4 linked regions of the Canis lupus familiaris genome follow. Each later gene encodes a partner of the first gene's protein in a complex. Links are inferred from orthologs where the notes say so. Each region holds a gene or a part of one and is shown on either strand. Other genes may lie near its edges.

Region 1 (4,303 bases):
CACAATGTGGAAGAATCTCAAAAATATGCTGCATAAAAGAAATTTTACACAAAAAAAATGCATACTGCATGATTCTACATTATATGAAATTCTACTGCAAGCAAAACTAAACTACGATAGAAGAAATTGATTGCACTGGGGGTATGAGAACAGAGACTGACTAGGAAGGGCTTGAGGTTTCGGTAATGTTCCATATTCCACATCTCAACAGGGGTTTGGGTTATACAGATGTGTAAATTTTTCAAAACTGGCAAATGTACATTGTATTTCATTGCATGAGATAGTCACCTCAAGAAGTAAAATTAAAAACCTTGGGTGGAAATAAAAGAAAGCTTTTATGACTCAGTGGTGCCACTGGAATGAATGACAGCAAAGGTATCTTGGCAGAAAAGAGTTATCCCAGCTCAGAAATCAAACAGATTTGAATTCTTTCCGATGAATCCTTCCCTTTGAATTCGTTCTTACTGAAACTTAAATATCCAGATAATATCCTTCATAGCACCCAAAAACATACCGCTTGCATAGTATCCTTCAGGATCCAAATCCACACTAACTGAATTCAAAAACCAAAGAAAACTGGATAATGTTGGGGATCCCTGGGTGGCTCCGCGGTTTAGTGCCTGCCTTCAGCCTGGGGCGTGATCCTGGAGAACAGGGATCGAGTCTGGCATCAGGCTCTCTGCATGAAGCCTGTTTCTCTGCCTCTCTCTCTGTCTCTCAAGAATAAATAAACAAAAAAAATTTTTTTAAAGAAAATTGGATAATGAGAGATACTTCTATGAGGTAGGTAAAAACTGTGAAAACCTGGCAATTTTATGAGATTATTAAGAAAGATGTCAAAGTAAACTCCCAGGTTTTTGGTTAGAGTGGCAGTAAGGATGATAGTGCCATCAACCACTGTACAGAAATAAGTCAACCAAAAATGCAAAGCAGTTAGACAAATACTCATTTTCTTGGAACAAAACATATTCACCAGTAAGAAGAAATTTTATTTCTACAGTCTAAACAAAGAATAGGGTTCAGTACAGCCTTTAAAATTTTCAGGAAAATTGTGTCACAACATGCAGTTTCTTTAAATGAGATAAACGGATTCTAAAGAGTGTGACACAAAACTATAAGTAGATTCAAATAGGTAGGGATTGAGAAATTGTGAAAATATACTTTAAATTCTGGGGTGTTTTTCTCCAAAGTTACAGTTCGACTAAAAATTAACCTTAAATGCCTTCCTTAAGAACTCCGAATACATATTGAGGGTTTTATACGTTATTTCATTCACACTAGAAATTGTCTATTTGTCTGTCTTCGCAAAATAGTTCAAAGAACACCTTAAAAAAACAAAATCCACTGCCTGTGCCTAGTGTAATAGGTGCCCAATAATTGATTGATCGCAATAAGACTAATCTTGATTCAGACAAAAGACTAGCTACATTTATAACTAATTTAATCAGAAATCTCCTCTATGTTCCAGGCTCCCTGCCTCAAGGAAAAACACCAAAACCTTATCTGCAGATAGTTTAGAATGAATTACTCAAATCATAAACCAATAGGCTCAACTAACCAATGAAGTTTAAACACAAGAGAATAGTGATCATCTGCTAATCAGCCACAAATACGTAAAGTGACTCTGCCAGACGTTGGGAGATTCTTCCTGAATTAAAGTCCTATTTTGTTTTCTTTTTTTTTATTTTAAAGATTTTATTTATTTATTTATTTATTTATTTATTTATTTATTCATTCATTCATTCATTCATGAGAGACACAGGGAGAGAGAAAGGCATAGACACAGGCAGAGGGAGAAGCAGGCTCCATGCTGGGAGCCCGACGTAGGACTCGATCCTGGGTCTCCAGGATCATTCCCTGGGCCGAAAGTGGCGCTAAACCGCTGAGCCACCCAGGGATCCCTAAAGTCCTATTTTGAAGGGAAATGGGAGTTGGGTAATCTTAACTGTAAGGAGTCGAAAAGAAAAGAAAAGAAAAGAAATGGGAAAAGGGAAAGGGAAAAGGAAAAGGAAAGACCAAAAAACCAGAAGTCCAATCCTGATTTAAAACATTTCGGAAATGGGTTTCGTCATTTCCTGATGAACCCCTGCAGCTTCTAAGTACATTCTAAAAGCTGCTTAACGGGACGTCTGGGTGGCTCAGCGGCTGGGCAGCTGCCTTTGGCTCAGGTCGTGATCCCGGGACCCAGGATCGAGTCCCACGTCGGGCTCCCTGCATGGAGCCTGCCTCTCCCTCTGCCTCTCTGTGTGTGTCTCTAATGAATAAATAAATAAATCTTTAAAAAAAAAATAAATAAATAAAAGCTCGTTAACTTAATGCAACGCGTACAATTTTCCTTAGGTCTCCCACGTTCTCCGGGAGCGTATATTTAGTCGTCTTTGCGGGTCCTGAGGGCTGAGACCGGCCAGAAAAATCATCTAGACTAGAGTACGAGTTCTAAGGGAACGAACGTCTTCTACCAACCGCAAACAGAAGCCTGTAAGCCTGGCGCCGCCGCCTTGCAGGCCTCTAAGACACTAGGGGGGAAGAAATGGCCAGGCCTTCACGTCCACTAGCCTGAAGACACGCGGGGGCCGCGCGCCAACGAGTCTGAAGCCCCGGCGGCAGCGCCCGCGACGGCGCGGCCAAGCTGGGGCGGGAGCGGCGGGCGCCGGAGGCCGTTAGCAGGCCGCGCGCGCACGCGGCTTTCCCGCCTCCCGCAAAGGGGCAGCGCGGCCTCCCGCTCGCCGCCCAAATCGTCACAGCCCCCACCCCGCCGGGCTACCCCCTCACCTCACGAGCTTCATCCTGGCGGCGCCGTCGCTCTTTCAGCCCGTTAATGTACAGAACCGGACTACCAAGGCCCGAAAAACTAGGAGTATGAATGGCCGGAAACGCCTACTCCTCGGGCTCGGACGTAAAGGGCGCGAGGAACGCTGAGAACGCGAGGCGGAAGCGCCGAGGCCCCCGGAGCCGCACTCCCTTCCGGCCGCGCCCAACCTCACGGCGGCCCCTGGCGGCTGGAGGTGTGCCTTGCGCCTGCTGAGCGCTTTGAGAGCCGGTCCAGGAGGAAAATTCCAGTAAGGGCGGGGATTTGGGGAGCTCAGATCCAATTAGTAGGCCGGGCCGCGGGCCGCGGGCTCAGAGTCCTGTGTTACGGGGCAGTAAATACACTCGCGAAGGAAATGTAGTTCTGACAAAGCCCAAAAAATTATGCGAATTCAGCTCCAACACCGGGAATGTACCTGAAGAAAATCACACAGTTTAGCTTATTATTTTTACTTTAAATTCTAGTCACAGGGGCACCTGGGTGGCTCAGTGGTTGAGTGTCTGCCTTTGGCTCAGGTCGTGATCCCAGGGTCCTGGGATGGAGTCTTGCATGAGGCTCCCCTGCATGGAGCCTGCTTCTCCCTCTGCCTGTGTCCCTGCCTCTCTCTGTGTATCTCTCATGAATAAATAAATGAAATCTTTTTTTTTTTAATTTTTATTTATTTATGATAGTCACACAGAGATAGAGACAGAGGTAGAGACACAGGCAGAGGGAGAAGCAGGCTCCATGCACCGGGAGCCCGACGTGGGATTCGATCCCGGGTCTCCAGGATCGCGCCCTGGGCCAAAGGCAGGCGCCAAACCGCTGCGCCACCCAGGGATCCCTAAAATCTTTTTCTTTAAAGATTTTATTTATTTATGAAACAGAGAGAGAGAGGGGGGCAGAGACACAGGCAGAGGGAGAAGCAGGCTCCATGCAGGGAGCCCGACGTGGGACTCAATCCCGGGTCTCCAGGATCACACCCTGGGCCGAAGGCAGGCGCTAAACCGCTGAGCTACCCAGGGATTCCCTAAATAAATAACATCTTAAAAAAAATTTGGTCACAAACCTCAGAATGGCACCTACATTGTTGAGAGCTCTTGTCTCTAATAAGCTCACAAACTATTTCATACCTTCCCTGTACTCTCCCTCTGAAACCTTTTACAGTGTCTTCCTAAGATCACTCTCTGCTAATATTTCCTCTTTCGAGAAGACCGGAAGCCATCCTTTTAGAACTTTCTTCCAGTTAGAAAGGTAGATGTATCATTGCCCCTTTCCAAGGCAAGTTCCTCTTCATTGTAGTCTGGCTCCCATCTTTCATTTTTCTCAAGAATTTCACTCCTTCTGGGCAGCCCCGGTGGCGCAGCGGTTTAGCGCCGCCTGCAGCCCAGGGCGCGATCCTGGAGACCCGGGATTGAGTCCCACGTCGGGCTCCCTGCATGGAGCCTGCTTCTCCCTCTGCCTGTGTCTCTGCCTCTCTCTCTTCCTCTGCATCTCTATGAATAAATAAATAAA
Region 2 (3,605 bases), on another chromosome or scaffold:
AATTATTATCAATAAAAAGGGGTTTTTTAGAGGCTTTATATAATAGTTTGGCATAAAATGCACAATCTGCAATATACATCCAACTGGGTTGTGTAAAGTACCTTCTTTTAACTTTGAAGTTGGCCTGTGGCTGGGATGGACCAGTGAGATTAAGGAGAGGGTTTCCACTCAAAATGTTTTCCATACGTATTCTTTCTTCTTCAGCTTTCTGTTCTTGTTCCTGTCAATGACAGAGGAGGACTCATTTACTTACATTAATTCTGGGGTCAATCTTCTTTCATAACTCAAATTTTAAAAGATTGTTAGGATTTTATGATGGAGAAGGAATAAGCATCAAGGTAGGTTGTTTATTGTTTTGTTTTTTAAGATATAAGAAATACCAGAAAAGTTTCACTTACCAAAATAATTTGGCCTTATAATAAATAGTTCATGCTTGTCTACATTCATTAGTCTGACTCTGAAATTCTATGAATGCCTATTTAAATGTTTTCTTTCTTGAAGTACATCCAAAATTAATTGCTTATTTTAAGAGTCCATCAATAATACATTCTAGTCATTTAAGGGTATGTTAAACATCAAAGAAACACATTTAGCAAAGCTATTACTTTGATTTTTAAAGATGGGCTATATAGAACTATGATTAAAAATAATTTTATTTTGAATTATTAACAGTGTAAATTTGCACTTCCAGGACTAGTGATAAGTTATTATTAGCCCATAAGTAGCTAAAACTATCATGTAAAATATTATATTCAGTTAACATGCATTTCTACTAATCTACCCCACGTTTATCCATTTTGTTCTTATGATTTGTTACTAACTTTCCATTTTCATACCTCTCATCCTTCATCAGTTATGAGCTTGTCTTTCTTTACTTTTAATTTAGCATTAATTTCTTTAAACTCAAATCAGCCTCAGTTTCATTCTTAGAATTAGAAACATAAAATGCCTACAATTCTTAGCCATAGCAACTGCTAGATCTACCTGTTCATGCTCTCTTAAACCAAAAATAAATCCCACTTTATTGTATTTTAGGAAGGGGAAAACTGATGACTTAATAGATCAAGGAAAAAGAGACCTTCAATTTATTTTTTTTTAAAGATTTTATTTATTTGAGAGAGAGAGCATGTGTGCAAAGCAGCAGGGAGAGGGAGAAGCAGGCTTCTCGCTGAGCCAGGAGCCTGACATGGGGCTTGATCCCAGGACTCTAGCCTCATGACTGGAGTTGAAGGTAGATACTTACCTGACTGAGCCACCCATGCATCCCCAGGGACTTCCAATTTAAAACGAACCTAACAGGGGCATCTGGGTAGCTAAGTTGGTTAAGCATCTGACTCTTGATTTCAGCTCAGGTCATGATCTCAGGGCAGTGAAATCTAGCCCTGCATCAGGCCCCACCCTCAGAGGGAAATCTGCTTGGGATTCTCTCCATCCCCTGCTCACACACACACTCTCTCAAATAAGTAAATCTTAAAGAAAAAAAACAAAGCCTAAGAAAGTTCAAAATTTTCCATACAGGTTAATGATGTTTCATTTTAATATCCAAATGTGAACAACAGATTTCATTTTTAAGAGGCCAAATGACTGGAAAGTGAGAAGATGCAATAATCAGGGAAATAAACAGGTAAATTCCTTTAGGTCACTACTCAGACCTTAAGCAAACAAAATCAGGCACATGTGTTCCATCACAGATTAAGAACAGATAGCTTTCTAAAAACAATGTATTTTTTTGCAAATTATATTGATATTGAAAGTGAAAAGACATTTCTCTGAGATTCTAAAAAAATAAGAGCTCAAACATACAACGTATCCATCTTATAATAATGTATGTGATATAATAAAGTTCTGGCCATTTTATATTTGGAATATTACTTCCTTTAGAGTCCTGGCTGGCTGCCACATAAACCACTGGGAAAAAAAGGTGCCAACTCTTTCCATATTCAAGTCCCAGAAACATTATGGTTCACAAACACAGGCTATAATCAGCTTGCAGATGAAATCCAAACCACCCCATTGTTGTTAACAAAATTTTAGTGGAACACAGTAAACTCATTCATTTCTGCATTGTCTATAGTTGCTTCCACACTTCAGTGAGCAGAACTAAAGAACCACACTAGAGATTGCATGGTCTGCAAGCTAGAAATATCCTGAAATATTTACCATCTGGCCCCCTTTACAGAAAGCTTCCTAGCCCCTGACACAGGCTAATTGGTTTGAAAATGTTATATTGGGACACTTCAAAAATCAGCCGCTAGAAAACCAGCCAGGGAAACAGAAACCAAAGTAAAACTGTCCTTCAACCCCTAGGAACACCAATATATTTTTGTACAAAGAGAGTAGAGGAATCTTACAAAATTCCAAGACCTTCTGTCTAAAATATTTATCCTTTTTAAGGGTCAACCAAATGCACCTATATTTCTTGTCTCTATGTATCCAGAGCTGTTAGGCAAGTCAAAAGAATATGGAATACAACTGCCCTCTAGTGGTGGGCAAGTAATATCTACTATCAGGAAAGTTCTTATAATTCTTTGATTTTTAAAAATTAAATATGACAATTATAAGCTATTATGGGAATCACGCTATCCAATGCCAAACTTTGATGGAAATTGTATTTAAAATATTCTTCTTGGGCAGCCTGGGTGGCTCAGCGGTTTGGCGCCGGGTCAGCCCAGGGTGTGATCCTGGAGACCTAGGATGGAGTCCCGCATCGGGCTCTCTGCGTGGAGCCTGCTTCTCCCTCTGCCTGTGTTTCTGCCTCTCTCTCTGTTTCTCTCATGAATGGACAAATAAATTCTTTGAAAAATAAATAAATAAAATATTCTTCCAATTTGAATTCCAGCAATCTTCTACTTCTCTGGATTCCTCACATGAACCCATGTCAGTCTTTCCCCCCTCTTTAAACAGAGTAATTCTTGGTTCAAATGAAAATTTACACAGAAGCTCATAAAAAAAAAGCTGAGCTGTTCTGTTTGAAAGTGGAGACAGACATCTCCATCTAAGTATCTCATAATGTGTCAAATTCAACACGTTCCAGAGCTCATCATCTCTTTTCTCTCCACCTAAACATGTGCATCCTTCTGCCATCCCCTGTATTAGTTAATGTCAACAACATCTACCCAGGAACTGAGGGTCATCTTTGTTGCCATAGCTAACCAGTCACTTTATCTGGTCAATTTTACCTCCTTGACAACTCTCTCAGCATCTATTTACTTCTCTCAATTCCAATTCTATTATGCAAAATTATCTTAATTGCATATGAGGATTATTGGAACAGCTTCCTCAATCAGTTTTCCCAATCCTCTATACTTCTGCCAGGGTTATCCTTCTAAAATGCATAGCCAAGTAGATGACTATTAAATTTATTATTTATATTTTTCTATGTTACTGAAATATTTCATAATAAAAAAATAAAATGCATATCAAATCTTGTCTCCTGCTAAAATCAACTAGCTCTTCATGGCCTTCAAGACAGAGTCCAGGGGCACCTCGGTGGCTCAGGGGCTGTCTACCTTCCACTCAGGTCGTGATCTTGGGGTCCTGGGATCGAGTCTTGTATCAGGCTTCCTGCAGGGAGCCTGCTTCTCCCTCTACCTATGTCTCTGCCT
Region 3 (3,605 bases), on another chromosome or scaffold:
AATCTTTAACTTATCTGGAATTTAACTTTGTATAAGGAATAAGGTAGATTTTTTTTCTATTTTCTATTTAATTTCTGCTTTTATCTTTATTAACTCCCATCTGCTTTCCTTAGATTTATTTTCTTTTATATTCATTCTGCCTTTTTATTTTATTTTTAAATATTTTATTTATTTAATGAGCGAGCGAGAGAGCGATATCTTGAGTAGAGGGGAAGGGCAGAGGGAGAAACGGACTCCCTGCAGAGCTGGGAGCCCAACACAGGACTTGATCCCAGGAGCCTGGGATCATGAGCTGAGCTGAAGGCAAATGCTTGACTGACTGAGTCACCTATGTGCCTCCTATTCTACCTTTTTAACAGTAAAATTCTTTAAGGTTGCAGATTTTCCCGAGCGTAGTTTTAGCTGCATCTTGTAAGTTTTGGTATATATTCTCATTTGTGTTATTTTTTAAATAGTCTACCATTGATTTTTTTTTCTTTATTTCAATTTCTCTTTCATCCAGTTGTTAGGAGAATAGGCTTCAAGTTCTAGCTTGTAGGGTATTTTTTATTTAAAATATTATTTCCAGCTGTATAGCATTGTGATTGGAGAACATGTTCTGTTTTTGGAGGTGATTGAAGTTTATTCTATAGTCCATTTTAATACATGTTTCATGGATTATTGAAATGGTACTATTTTTGTAAGATTCAGATATATATATCCACTAGTTTGACATTAATATTTAACAACATAATTGTTATATTATAGTTTATATTAATGTTATAATTATATATTGATATTAATTCCTCTGACCTTATTTTTGTCAGCTTTATGTGTTATAAACTTAAAGTGGTATGCTAAAATATAACTTTTGTTATTAGTTTCTCTTGGAATTTCTAAGAGTTTCTTAAGTTAAAATTTTTGACTTGTGAACTTATGTATAAAGTTTCATGACATATTTTTGTAATATATTAGGACCTTTTTAACAATTTTTTTTTAAATTTTTATTTATTTATGATAGTCACAGAGAGAGAGAGAGAGGCAGAGACAAGGCAGAGGGAGAAGCAGGCTCCATGCACCGGGAGCCTGACGTGGGACTCGATCCCGGGTCTCCAGGATCATGCCCTGGGCCAAAGGCAGGCGCCAAACCGCTGCGCCACCCAGGGATCCTATTAGGACCTTTTTAAGTGTAAAAGAGCTCTCTTAGTCCTGCTTAAGGGGAACTATTTTTTTTTTTTGGCCTTGAATTCATCTTCGATCTTAATATTACCACTCATTTTGTAATTGGGTGTTCCTGCTCTGTCCTTGTCTAATTTTTATTTTTAACTTTATGTCATCTTTTCCTAGATGTATCTCTTGTATAGATTATATTATTTGAATTGTTTTGTCATTCAATCTGAAAGTTTTTGCATTTTAAATCAATGGTGTCTTACTCTTTTATAAAATAAATAGATATGGGGAGATTGTTAACATTAATCTGGTGCGGGACAAGAAGACTGGGAAATCCAAAGGATTCTGTTTCCTTTGCTATGAAGACCAGAGGAGCACAATTTTGGCTGTTGACAATTTTAATGGAATCAAGGTGAGTGTGTTCACTAAGCAGGATCTGGCTGGACTTTTCCTGTATGTAAGAGTTCGATTTAATTTCCCACCTGATTGCCCCAAGTTCAAGGACAGTACTGGTCACCTGGATGTGTTGAGGGTTGTAGAGGTGTGGGGACATACTGACCAGGAAATGATCCCAGGAAATAATTTCATTGGCTTATGACCCTGCTGACACTTGTTCCTTTTCCTCATGTTCATCTTCCCAGGAACATAGGTATCATGTCCCTCACCCCCAACCAAGCCCCTGGTTTCTCACCTTTCCATTCTCACACCCTACTCTCATCTCTGATGTATTGGGCAGTAAAAAGACTAGCAAATACTGCTCTTCCATGCTATGCTGTGTCAGAGGATTTGGCGCTCTCTTATGGCTTCATCCTCTAAGACATAGCTCTGTGTGTCTGTCCTATGTCTCCACTGACTTAGCATTACTGGGCCTTGGAAATTCTCTAGATGAAGTCTGATGACAAATTCTACAAAAGTAACTCATTCTGAAGTTTTCCCTTGTCTGTTCCCTCTCAGAACACTCTTGGCCAGAGAAGGTGGTAGACAAGTCTGGCTTGTCTATGCTCTCCCTGGTTCCTCTGCTTATTTAGGAAAAGCACTGCAGTTAGATAAGCATTTTTTATAGGTTTGGGGGTGACTTTGGACTTGGAGAATTTGTCACTGATTGCAGCAGTATGGAACAGCTGAAAATCTCCATGAAAGGGGGATTTTCTAAAATGTTTTCAAAAGGGGAATAGGAAAGATGACCTTTAAGTTCAGGCTTAAAGGTAAGAATGAAACTCTGTTCTTGTATAGGAACAATAAAAGCCAGACATAAGCTTTTGGATGATTTTTTCCTATAGAATAGGTCTGTATCTGCCTGACTATTTTTAAGTGAGGGGCTAATTTTTTGTTGTTCACCCAGAGAGTTGTGATCCACAGCAAAAATAAGTGTGAGACAGTTGTTCCAGTATGGTGGGGGTAGAGCAAGGCGTGAGGGCTTAGGAAAACAAATTCCTTCCCCTTTCCCAAATATTGGTCTGCCTTGACCTCATCCTAATTGCTGTATCAAGAAAACAGCTGTAGTGCTGCACTCGCTTCAGGAGTTCTTTCTAACTGCCAGGCCATGGTATGTTTTACTGCAAATTAATGTGATTGAGGGTAATTCATTGTTTATGCATGTAAATTCTTAGTTTTCCCTGCTGCTTGTGCTTTGGGGCAGTACTGCTGAGCATTTTTTCATTTAATTGCATATGTAGAACCTGAAGGTTATTGTGTGGCACCCTGGGGTAAACTGAGGAGGCTGCCTGGTAGAGTTGCCTCAGGGACTCCAGCTGCCTACCTGATTGCCCCAGGGAGGGGCTGGGCAGATTATTATCTAGGTATATGTGCTGTGACATACCAGTTGGGCAGGTCTGGCTTAGATATTTCCCCAGAAATAGAATTAGCAGGAAGGTAAAGGGTGTAGTTTGAACCATGGCTTTCTAGGGTGTGGTTTGAACCATGGCTTTCTGCAGCTGGGTTCAAATAGTTCAGAAGTAGGGCCCTCTCTGCTGAAGCATTGCCTGTCTGTCTTAGATCAAAGGAAGAACTATCCGAGTGGATCATGTGTCTAACTATCGGGCTCCTAAGGACTCAGAAGAAATGGATGATGTGACCAAAGAGCTCCAAGAGAAGGGCTGTGGGGCTCACACCCCCTCCGTGAGTTCATCCGAGGGTTCCGAAGATGACAAACCCCCAAAAAAATACAAAAAAGGTAAAGCACTAAGACCTGAGAGAAGATTCTGGGTAGTCTTAGTGTTTGCTCCTCCTAGTATTCACTGAGAATTGGTAATCAGTTATTAGGTGTGAAAAGGAAGGGTGTGGGGAACCGTATAGTAATTGGGAAAGGAGAGGTATCAGTGGAAGACTAATATCATGGGCTGAATTCTGTTTCCCAGTTCATATGTTGGAGTCCTAATCCCTCGAGACCTTAGAATGTGACTGTATTTGGAGGTCGGGTCTTTAGAAAGGTAATTTGGGGATGAGGATTGCCTTAT
Region 4 (3,568 bases), on another chromosome or scaffold:
GACAGCTCACACCCACCTCTGCTCTCAGAAACGGCCCAACCACGTGCAGGCTACCTCGAGAGGGGCTGGCCGACCCTGGGTGCCCGCAGCCCGCGGCCATGACCTCCCATGTGTCTGCCCCACAGCAGCCCTGACGGCACAGGCCAGACGACTTTCCAGCGGTGACTGGGTTGCAAGAACCCCAAACCTATAAGATTCATTCCCACCAACGCTGTAATTCCACACGCAAGGATTTATTACAACAAAACAATCAGAAACGCCAGTAAAGATTCAAACTGGCCGACAGGTGAGTGGCATACTTCTAGCACATCCACGGGTGCGTTCTATGAAGCCACTAAAAAATATACATTCCTAAAGATTTGATGATGATGGAAAATTCTCACAAAACTTTCAGTTCTAAGGGCATCTGGGTGGCTCAGCTGGTGAAGCATTTGTCCTCGGCTCAGGTCGTGGTCCGGGGATTCTGGGATCAATCCCGGGTCAGGCTCCCTGCTCAGTGGAGACCCTCCTTCTCCCTCTGCCTCCAACCCTCCCCACACTCGTGTTCTCGGTCTCAAATAAATAATAAGTAACATCTTAAACAAAACAACCCTTTCAGCTTTATTTTTTTTTTTTTTTAAACATATTTTTCTTTTTTTAATTTTTTTTTTTTTTTTTTTTTTTATTTATGATAGTCACAGAGAAAGAGAGAGAGGCAGAGACACAGGCAGAGGGAGAAGCAGACTCCATGCACCGGGAGCCTGACGTGGGACTCGATCCCGGGTCTCCAGGATCGCGCCCTGGGCCAAAGGCAGGCGCTAAACCACTGCGCCACCCAGGGATCCCCCCTTTCAGCTTTAAAACAAGACACAACACTAAACACATAGTAGCACTTCAGTTGTGTGCAGGGACAGGCTGTAATAATACAAGTAAGCTAAAACTAACAGTTTCTCAGGAGTAGGTTTACACAAGACTTTTTGGGGGGTGTCAAGATTTTATTTATTTATTTAGTTATTGATTTATTGATTGATTGATTGCAATTTTTAAAAAGATTTTATTTATTCATGAGAGACACAGGCAGAGGGAGAAGCAGGCTCCATGCAGGGAGCCTGACGGGGCTCAATGCCCAGTCTCCAGGATCACACCCTGGGCCGAAGGCAGCACTAAACGGCTGGGCCACCGGGGCTGCCCTAGATTTTATTTTTGAGTAATCTCCACACCCAGCATAGGGCTCTAATTCACAACCCAGAGATGACGAGTCAGACGCTCCACCCGCTGAGCCTGCTGGGTGACCTATAGGTGATGTTTAATATCCTTTTTTGTTTATTAAACTCCAAATATGTTCGTTCTGCACATATGTTTAAACTAGATTTGATTGATTGATTGATTGATTGATTTTATTTATTCCTGAGAGACGCAGAGAGAGAGGCAGAGACACAGGCAGAGGGAGAAGCAGCCTCCCTGTGGGGAGCCCGACGCAGGACTCGATCCCGGGACCCCAGGGCCACGGACTGAGCACCAAGGCAGATACTCAACCGCTGAGCCCCCCCGGGCGCCCCTACACACGTGTTTAGATGTAGGTAAGATACCAGAAGTTAAGTTTCAGAAGAAAAAGTAACGGGGGCACACCAGAGAACAAAGTCAAACTCCTCACGCCAGGAGTAGAGACGCAGTGCAAATGCCTGAGACCAAGTGCAGCTGAAGCTCTGACAGACAAAGCACGTTACCGGCATGCGTGATTCCTGAGACCCTCTCCCTCAGGAAATGCCACTGCCTGCCGGATGTGGGGAGGCAGGAAGCCACTTACCGGAGTTGGGGCACTCCTGCAGTGCCTTGGCCATGAGCGTGTTGGCGATGTTCTTCAGCCCTGCACGGTACTCCAGTCGCACAGACTCCAACCTGAGGAAGGGCCCACAGGGCGGGTCCAGCACCCACGCACGGAAGCCCCGGGACAAGCCTAGCTACGTTCCCGGAATTCCTGGGAAGCCACCGCGGCTGGAGCTCCCTGCTCTGCCAAGCAGAGCTCATCTACTGGAGAAGCAAGGCACTGGAGCCCGCCCACCGTGAGGACCAGAGGCAGCTGCCACCACAGCTGAGGCCTGGGACCCCGGCATCACACGGGTGCGAGTAAATACAGGTAGGACAAGGACAGGCTGGCACAGGCTGGCATGCTAGTGCTGCTGGGACAGTGAAGCATATCCGCAGCATCCTGGACCTACCCATGCTCCCGGGTCTCCTTTGGCAACCACCACGCTGAGCCCTGACGCCATGAGCCCTCCGTGGCACAGCCCTGCAAGCTCTCTACTACGGACAGGAGGCCAGCCTCACCTGACAACCTCCTGCTCATCCCTTAAAGCCTCATCTAAAAGCCACCCCTTCTGGGAAGCCCTTTCTTGGCTGCACCCATACTCAACCCCCCGGTGTTAGCTCCCGGCTCCCCAGTCACCTTCTACCAGAGCACAAATTAAACTGCGTGCAACTAACTACGGGCCCACGAGTGTCCAGGACGAACCCTCCCAAGGCAACTGTGCTTCCTCATGGCCAGCAGCTGCCACCCTTGCCATGGAGCCTGGGCTGGAAATGCTGCTGCACGAATGGCCCCACATGCGCAACAGCGGGAAGACAGCCCACTGGAGGGGTGAGCAGGGTCCACCAGGACTCACCACAGGCCGGGGTTCTTTGGGTTCTTCAGGCGAGACTTTTCCAGAATGGCCCGAGCTCGGGTCAGCTGCCCAACCTTCTCCTCCAGCCGAGAAAGCAAAAGCCACAGAGGGGTGGAGTGGGGACATTTCTTCAACTGCAAGCAACAGAGACAAGTAAGAGAGGGCTCGGCTGGTGTTGGAGGAGCTGTGATGGCTGTGGCCGGCCCCTCAGGCTGGGGGAGTCAGGGATGCTCGTGTCCACAGAGTCCTACCCGTGAGCGTGGGGTGGGGGTTTATGTGTGTGGCAATGCAGTGAACAAGTGCACACAGGGTGCGTGTGTTCTCACTACCTGGCTGTGCTGCGCGTGCATGCACGTGGGGTGCGTACACAGCGGCCCTGTTAGGGGTCCTGTAACCCAGGCCTCACTGAGTGCAGTGCACACAGCTCTGCAGACGGCAGGTGCAGGCCTGAGCGAGGGGACCACTACCAGCTGGGGTCTAAGCAAGTCACTGCCCACCGGGCCTCTCATTCCCGCCCGGGAACCAGCTGAGCTCACCCCCTGGTTGTAGGCTTCCCGAGCCCTCTCCATCAGCTCCTCCTGCTCCTCAATCTGTCCCTTCATCATCCACAGCTTAGGGAAGTCCTCATAGTGCCTCAGCGCCTCCTCGCACAGCTCCTGAGCAGCTGCGATGTTCCCCAGCACCCACTCCAGCTTCACAGACTTCATGAACACCTGTGAGGCAGACACGCCATCCAACAGCCCCGGGCACCCCCGCCCCCTGAGACGTCCCGACGGCAGGACCGCCTCTAGCACTGGCTCCAGCCAGATGGCACCTTCACGATACGGGTTTCACACCACAGCTCCCCTGACAGGTCACTTGCCCTACTGGGTAAGTTCCTGCCCACACAGGAACTTCTGTAGGGTGTTTCACATCCTTTGGCAGAA

What was found. The genes of interacting proteins can lie anywhere in the genome.
Region 2: SNRPD1 (region 1) and CWC15 share a complex: the UniProt entries of both Homo sapiens proteins name them as parts of the minor spliceosome. The link is inferred for Canis lupus familiaris from reciprocal best matches to the Homo sapiens genes SNRPD1 and CWC15.
Region 3: SNRPD1 (region 1) and RBMX2 share a complex: the UniProt entries of both Homo sapiens proteins name them as parts of the minor spliceosome. The link is inferred for Canis lupus familiaris from reciprocal best matches to the Homo sapiens genes SNRPD1 and RBMX2.
Region 4: SNRPD1 (region 1) and PRPF6 share a complex: the UniProt entries of both Homo sapiens proteins name them as parts of the U4/U6-U5 tri-snRNP complex. The link is inferred for Canis lupus familiaris from reciprocal best matches to the Homo sapiens genes SNRPD1 and PRPF6.

Annotation. Positions count from the first base shown.
Region 1 is NC_049228.1:66,472,924-66,477,226, forward strand, and holds the start of SNRPD1 (small nuclear ribonucleoprotein Sm D1), read right to left. Parts: upstream 2,904-4,303; 5' UTR 2,787-2,903; coding exon 2,773-2,786; intron 1-2,772. UniProt on the Homo sapiens protein: Plays a role in pre-mRNA splicing as a core component of the spliceosomal U1, U2, U4 and U5 small nuclear ribonucleoproteins (snRNPs), the building blocks of the spliceosome.
Region 2 is NC_049242.1:6,122,954-6,126,558, reverse strand, and holds part of CWC15 (spliceosome-associated protein CWC15 homolog), read right to left. Parts: intron 221-3,605; coding exon 102-220; intron 1-101. UniProt on the Homo sapiens protein: Involved in pre-mRNA splicing as component of the spliceosome. Component of the PRP19-CDC5L complex that forms an integral part of the spliceosome and is required for activating pre-mRNA splicing.
Region 3 is NC_049260.1:102,438,436-102,442,040, forward strand, and holds part of RBMX2 (RNA-binding motif protein, X-linked 2), read left to right. Parts: intron 1-1,431; coding exon 1,432-1,561; intron 1,562-3,144; coding exon 3,145-3,322; intron 3,323-3,605. UniProt on the Homo sapiens protein: Involved in pre-mRNA splicing as component of the activated spliceosome. As a component of the minor spliceosome, involved in the splicing of U12-type introns in pre-mRNAs.
Region 4 is NC_049245.1:48,324,012-48,327,579, reverse strand, and holds part of PRPF6 (pre-mRNA-processing factor 6), read right to left. Parts: intron 3,356-3,568; coding exon 3,179-3,355; intron 2,777-3,178; coding exon 2,643-2,776; intron 1,879-2,642; coding exon 1,787-1,878; intron 1-1,786. UniProt on the Homo sapiens protein: Involved in pre-mRNA splicing as component of the U4/U6-U5 tri-snRNP complex, one of the building blocks of the spliceosome.